Cricetulus griseus: one gene and its partner. The protein of the gene in region 1 interacts with the protein of each later gene in a pairwise test. Links are inferred from orthologs where the notes say so. Each region holds a gene or a part of one and is shown in the gene's direction. Other genes may lie near its edges.

Region 1 (3,299 bases):
TAGCCCTGTGTGCCTCACTGCTTTCTCCGCGGTTGGGGACGCGTGCATCAGAATCCCAGCAACCAGGGCGAGTCTGAGAGGTGCGCACCCCGGGGCGGGGGAGCGGCACGCGGCTCAGACCCCCACGTGCCGGGCAACCCCGCGACCCCCGCGCGCGGCGGGGCTCTGCCCACCCCACCCGGCGGCAGGTGGACAGTGTTGCTATGAAAGAGAAAGCGTCGATTGTCCCCACTGCGAACTGCCACACGCCAGACCTCCTCTTTTGTGTGCCCCGTATAGAAATGCAAACGAGCCGCGTGTGCCGGCAGCAATCTGCTGGTCCCTGCTGCCCGCGCCCCACAGCGATCTGCCAGGGGCAGGGGCAGGGGCAGGGGTGGGGGACGGGACGGGACAGGGGCCGGGGTGTGGGTGTGGGGGAGGGCGGCGCAGACCTTGCAGCCGCGACCCTGAAAGGCGCTGAGTCCTGAGTTCTAGAGGCGACCTTGGCCTGGTGTCAGCTGCAGTTGCAAACCTTTGACTTTTTAAGTTTCGGTTTCAATGCAACAGCCCCATAAACCTCAATTTGGAAATTAAAAAAAAAATTAGAAAGGTCGCAATAAAAATAAATGCAAAAAAAGGCTTTTTACATTCTCCAAGCGTGCATTTCACAAATTCCAGTATCATATTAGCAAACAACGTTGTTGGTTTTTTTTTTTAACTTTTTCCTTTTAAGGACTTACAAAAAAGAAAACGAGATGAAATCTGCAGGCTCCAGTCTGCCTGGTAACACCCTGACAAAAGCGGCAGATTTGAGGCTGTGTCATCCCCCGCACCCCTCCCCACGTGGCCTTCTGGCACGAGCCGCGGGCCTGCCGCCTCATTTGCATCAGAAAGCGGGCGCTGGCCAATGGGAGCGCAGCCTCCCGCCAGCTGGCGGCGTCGCGCGGGGCCCGTCTATAAAAGGGCGCTCGCCGCGGTGCCTGGCGCACTCGCTGGTGGTGGGCGCGCGGGTCGGGTTCTGGGGCTCCTTACCTGCGCTCGGGATCCCTCGGTTCCCTCCACACTCCTCACTTTTGGATAACTTGCTGCCCGTGGATCGTACAATGACTCTGGAAGAAGTCCGTGGCCAGGATACAGTTCCGGAAAGCACAGCCAGGTAGGTTTTGGGGTGGCGAGGGTTGGACTTGTCGGGTAGAGATCTTTCAGGGTCTTCTAGGGTGGAAGTTTGTGGGGTGGGAGCCGTGCCCTGCCTGACAGCGAGGTGCCGAGGCGGTGGGGCCACAATTACTCCGTCCGATTCATTCCTAGAGCTAGAGACTGGGATTCTGGCACCGGGTCCGGATTGGGGAGCCTGGGCTATGGGCTCCAGATCAGGAGTAGGGAACCGGGGGTGCAGGCGCCGGGGCGAGACTAGGTGATGGGGAATGAGGGCGCCAGATCATGACTAGGGTGCCAGAGGTGTGGGCGCCAAGTCGGGACTGGGGATCCGGGTGTGTGGGCGCCAGGTTGGAGTTGGGAGGCAGGAATGCTGGCGCCAGGCAGGTCTAGGCTAAGGAGCCAGCTGGGACCTGGAGGTCAGGGCTGGGATCTCCGCCGCGTCCTCGTGCTGGTCCCCACTCACCGTGCTTGTTCTCTTACAGGATGCAGGGCGCCGGGAAAGCGCTGCACGAACTTCTGCTGTCGGCGCAGCGCCAGGGCTGTCTGACCGCTGGCGTCTACGAGTCCGCCAAAGTCCTGAATGTGTGAGTATGGACAGGCCCTGCGTGCAGGGATTGGGTTTGGCGCGGCTGGGAGACCTGGGGGTGGCATCGGCTCTGACCTTGTTCTTCCCATCTGCTCTGCAGGGACCCTGACAATGTGACCTTTTGCGTGCTGGCTGCCGATGAAGAAGATGAGGGCGACATAGCGCTGCAGATCCATTTCACGCTGATCCAGGCGTTCTGCTGTGAGAACGACATTGACATCGTGCGCGTGGGTGATGTTCAGCGGCTAGCGGCGATCGTGGGTGCGGACGACGAGGCGGGCGCGCCGGGGGACCTGCACTGCATACTCATTTCGGTGAGTGCTGCTGTTGCCTCCCCACGCCGGTTTCCCCCACCCGTTTTGGCCATCGGCCAGCCTGGCTCACCCCTGAATTTTTTTTTTTTTAATACAGAATCCTAATGAGGACACGTGGAAGGACCCTGCTTTGGAGAAACTCAGCGTGTTCTGCGAGGAAAGCCGCAGCTTCAACGACTGGGTGCCCAGCATTACACTTCCCGAGTGACAGCCCGGCAGGGACCTTGATCTGATCGACTTGGTGACGCTCTAGCGCGCTGCTGGCTCTGGAGTGGCCCTCCGAGGGCGCTCGAGTGCGCATGGAGACTGGCAGGCGGTGTTGCCTGGAGAGCGAGGAGCGCAGCCTCCCAAGAAGGGGGCCTGGCGGCGGCGGGGACACCTTGTTCCGAGCCCAGGACTCTGCCACTGTCCAGAGAGGCTGCTAGCACAGGAAGGCCTAGGCAGGGACGTTGGCCGCAGGGCCGGGAAGAACCGACTAGTGAGGCAGGCGTGACTCAGCAGCCTTCCAGTGAAACGAGAGGAAAAGCAAGGCAGGCGGCCTGGACTTGGTACAGCTACAGGAGTGGCCAGCTGCAGGAGCGAGCCGGACTTCGCAGGCTGCACCGCTCTTTCCCAAAAGGGATCCCGGGCAATGCTTTCATTTTCTAAAGGACGCTATCGTGGAAGCTTTGAATTTCACAATAAACTCATTGAAACAAACTTCCGCCTTTTATTGAGGGCAGGGGATTCCTATCTCGGGGGAGGTGGTAAAGGGTGTTTCTGGTGGTTGATGGAGCTTATGGCACCTGTAACCACCTTTCTGTTGGGCAAGAAATTACAGCCTGCTGGGGCTGGCAGTGGGGGAGGGGATGGTGGCGAGAAGTAAGGGGGAGGACTTGGGGCCCGAGTACTGTTTTATCCTTCCAGGAAGATTTTTAACTTGCAAGACGGGGGCATACTTGAGATAAGGCATCCCGGCGCAGGAGCGCAAGGCTTGCAATCCAATCCGATAACAGTGACTTCTGCTTCCAGTTTCTCCCCTCCCCCCCTTGCCTCCGACAGCTGCTTATCTGAACCGCTTGCGGGAGGCCCTGCGCCTTCCAATACAATGAGCTGCCTTCTGCAACTCTGCCCTCGGTGGTGCCTGTGGATAGGGGTGGACTGCTCTTGCTTTCAGGAACTTTCTCCTTTTAATTGCTCTGGCAAAGCAGCGCTACTAAAGTATTAATATCAAATATGACACCAACGACTGCGTTTTAAGTGTGAATCATCATTTTGTCACG
Region 2 (3,757 bases), on another chromosome or scaffold:
ATGTACATGTTACTTTGTTACTTTTCTGTACAATAAAATTTGTAATTGTATGGATAGTTTACATTTGTATTCATTTAAATTCCGTTTTTAAATGGTAAAAATAAATGAAATGCAAATCTTTTAAAGTATTAATCATTCTTTTGTGGAAGAGTTGATAATTGCTTAGTTACTCACCTGACAGAGCAATCCAAGTAATGAGCAATATTGTTTGTGTTTTCTTCTCTTGATTCCAGACCCAGTGTGAGATGGCATCGATGTTAAAAAAAAATACTGAAGAAAGAAATAAGAAATATTCTGAAGGAAGTAATACTAAGGCATCATATCTGAAGAGTGATGCTGAACTTAAAAAGCTATTTGGTCTCACTAAAGATTTGAGAGTGGGTCTTACTCGCATTCCTGACTATCTGGGTTCTAGAAAAGGTTCTGATTCCGTTAGCAGTTTGATGAAGAGTAGCTCTTACAAAGATGCAGAGTTTGTGGTGAAGGAAGAAGAAATAAAACAGGTAATAGTTTTGTTTTTGTTGTTTTTAAGTGTATGACATTTTTGTAGGTGTGACAAAGTTACATGGTTATCTTTTGGTTTTAATGTGCATTAGATTGAATGATTTTTTTTATGAAACTTGTAAATATCTCATACCAAACAGTGACAAAAATCATGCACACAGATAAAAATATATCCCTAGTTAATTTGAGTTCTAAGTATTTTTAGTCACCTTGGTTTTTTTTCCTTTTGTCATGTAAGAAAATAGTCTAGAGAGTTGGTTCAGTAGTTAACAGCACTTGTTGCTCATTCAGAGGTCCCTGATTTAATTCCAGTATCCACATGGTGGTTCACAACCATCTGTAACTCTAGTGGCAAGGGAATCAGACACCCTGGGCACCAGGTAAATACATGCTACACATGCAGCAGGTCAAAAACTCAGAAATTAATAAAATGAGTAAATATCTTTAAAAAGGAAAATAGCAAAAAAGCATTTCAACTAGTTATCCTATTTTAAAGAATTACCTAAAGAAAATAAGTATAAGGGAAAATGTGAGCATGCTGATGTTCATTGAAGTGTTAACACTTAATAAAATTTTTAAAGTTACTTTTCTATAATTTTTTGCAGATATTTTTATTTGAATTAAAAACAAGATTGTTTTACGTGACAATCCCAGTTCCCTCTCCCTCCCATCCTCCCCTGCCCCCCCAACTAAAACCCTACCTATGACATATTCTTTCTGCTCCCCCTGGTGAAGCCTTCCATAGGGTTTCATCAGCCCACCCCTGTGTGTCTTGGCTCAGGGAGTATTCCTCTATGTGGAATGGGCTCCCAAAGTCCACACCTATGCTAGGGATAAGTACTGAACTACTACTGGAGGTGCCATAGATTTCCAAGGTCTCACTGAAACCCATGTTCCTGGGGTCTGGATCAGTCCCATGCTGGTATCCTGCTATCAGTCTGGTGATCAAGAGCTCCCCGATATTCAGGTCAGCTGTTTCTGTGTGTTTCACCAGCCTGGTCTGGACCCCTTTGCTCTTCACTCATCCTTCTCTGCATCTGGATTCCAGTTCAGTTCAGTGATTAGTTGTGGGTGTCTGCTTCTACTTTGACCAGCTGCTGGATGAGAGCTTTCCGGTGGCATATAAGTCAGTCATGAATCTCATCATCAGGGGAGTGCATTTAAGGTAGCCGCTCCTCTGTTGCTTAGATTGTTAGCTGGTGTCATCTTTGTAGCTCTCCAGACATTTCCCTAGTGCCTGATTTCTCTGTAAACCTAAAATGTCTCCCTCTACTATGGTATCTCTATTCTTGTTATCTTCTATTCTTCCCCTGACTCAACCTTTCTGCTCCCTCATGTCCTCCTCACCCTTCCTCTTCTCCCCTTCTCATTCTCCTAGCTCCCCCCCCTTCCCGTGCTCCCAATTTGCTCAGGAGATCTTGTCCCTTTCCCCTTCTCCAGGGGACCATAACACTTAATAAATTTTAAGCAGCATATACAGACAGTAATGCAATGTACTATAATTATGCTTACAAACATTATAATCTAGTATTCTGAACTTCATCCATTTCAGATAAACCTCAAGGAAAAGTTTCTCTATGTGCCTGCTTTGCAAATGAAATAAAAATTTAAACAATTTATCTCAGGTGCTGTTTCAATGATAGGTCAGTTTGGCTTCTAATACCTGGTTTAAACAAGAAAATGAAAATACACTAGCTTGTTTTCTAGAACTATGATTGTGACTTTTTGTTTTAGTACCATGTAGTAGGATCCAGCTTTTACTATAGTTATCCCCAGTAAAATTTGTGAAATCAAATTTAATTGCTATTATTTGCCTAACTTTGATTTGAAAGCATGTGGCATAGCAATAACATTATTTTTTGTCTTATAATTGCAACAGAGTTTTTCTAAGAAAAGAAGAGCAAAAAATATTAAGAAGATGGAATACACAAAAAGGAGAAAAATTAAGAGGGCTAGTGACACAGTCATGAATGGAACAGATGTTGCCAGTTCCCAACTCCTTAGTATTTTACCCACATCAGAAGTACCGCAACATAACATTGTCACAAGCCATAGCACAACCAGGGAAGACAAGAGAACTGAGGTAGAACATTGCTCCCATGAGAAGCAGGACAAAGGCACATTAAGTTCAAGTGTATCTTTTGAACAGAGTAATTGTTTTAATAAAAGCTACACTGAAGACATTTTTCTAGTGACACCACCAGAATTAGAAGAAACCATCAGAGATGAAAAAATAAGAAGACTTAAGCAGATTGTAAAAGAGAAAGAAGCAGCTCTTGAAGAAATGCGTAAGAAGATGCACCAAAAACAGTAAAATGTCTAGGATTTAAAGACTTGTACTACTACAGTAGTTCTCTCTCACCTGCTGGGGATACAGTCAAGACCCCCCCCCCGCCCCAGTGAATACCTGAACTGGAGATGATACCAAATTCTGTATTCTGTATACAAATGATGTAAAATCTTGATGTTTATTCTGATAACTCAACATCTGCTTTAGATAATAACAAGAAAGTAGGATATGCACTTCAGATACACTCAATGAAGAGGATAATTGATATCCTGAATAGGACACTGAAATTTTTTGTCATGCTACTCAGAATGGCATATAATTTAAGAGTTATGAATTCCTCCTTTCTGGAGTTTCTCATTGATATTTTGGACAGCAGATTATCATGGGCGTCAGAAAACAGAAGAGGCAACTGCAGGTTACAGAGGATTACTGTTATTTATAAAGGCACTCTGAAAGTGTCTTTGTATATAAAACTTGAGTACAGAAAAGGTTGAGTCATTTGACTCATTGAAAATCTATATGACATATTTTGACTCACTTGTTTTGGAAGAAAATTTTTGGTATTTTTCTGTGAAATGAAATTCCCCAAGTTTGAATATTTTGTACAAAATTTCTGTTAATGTTATATCTTCTACTAAATTCCTCAGGTCTTACACTAACAAATATTGTGTACTAAAAGTCTACAATCCAAGATAGTCAGCTGTAAGCTTAACTTTACCATTGAGTTTCTATGTGTACTGTCTTGATCTTCTTACCTATAAAAATGATACAACCTATTCACTGTTGTTGCTATTTTTTCCATCAAGAAAATCTATTAAAATTTATTTACTCAAATATTTTTCGACATGAAGGGCAGATGCTTTTTGCATGTCTGCAATATTATATATTCCAAAAAGTTTGAAGTTTAGGCTATTTAATGATATTTTATCTTTGGCTTGCAAATTATGCCTTATGAAGCTAGAG

Evidence for each region. The genes of interacting proteins can lie anywhere in the genome.
Region 2: the proteins of Gadd45g (region 1) and Lrif1 interact in binary tests that used the Homo sapiens proteins (3 or more experiments, as listed by UniProt). The link is inferred for Cricetulus griseus from reciprocal best matches to the Homo sapiens genes GADD45G and LRIF1.

Annotation. Positions count from the first base shown.
Region 1 is NC_048596.1:270,787,790-270,791,088, forward strand, and holds Gadd45g (growth arrest and DNA damage-inducible protein GADD45 gamma), read left to right. Parts: upstream 1-969; 5' UTR 970-1,082; coding exon 1,083-1,135; intron 1,136-1,619; coding exon 1,620-1,721; intron 1,722-1,823; coding exon 1,824-2,037; intron 2,038-2,134; coding exon 2,135-2,245; 3' UTR 2,246-2,755; downstream 2,756-3,299. UniProt on the Homo sapiens protein: Involved in the regulation of growth and apoptosis. Mediates activation of stress-responsive MTK1/MEKK4 MAPKKK.
Region 2 is NW_023276806.1:50,369,872-50,373,628, reverse strand, and holds the end of Lrif1 (ligand-dependent nuclear receptor-interacting factor 1), read left to right. Parts: intron 1-233; coding exon 234-503; intron 504-2,383; coding exon 2,384-2,818; 3' UTR 2,819-3,570; downstream 3,571-3,757. UniProt on the Homo sapiens protein: Together with SMCHD1, involved in chromosome X inactivation in females by promoting the compaction of heterochromatin.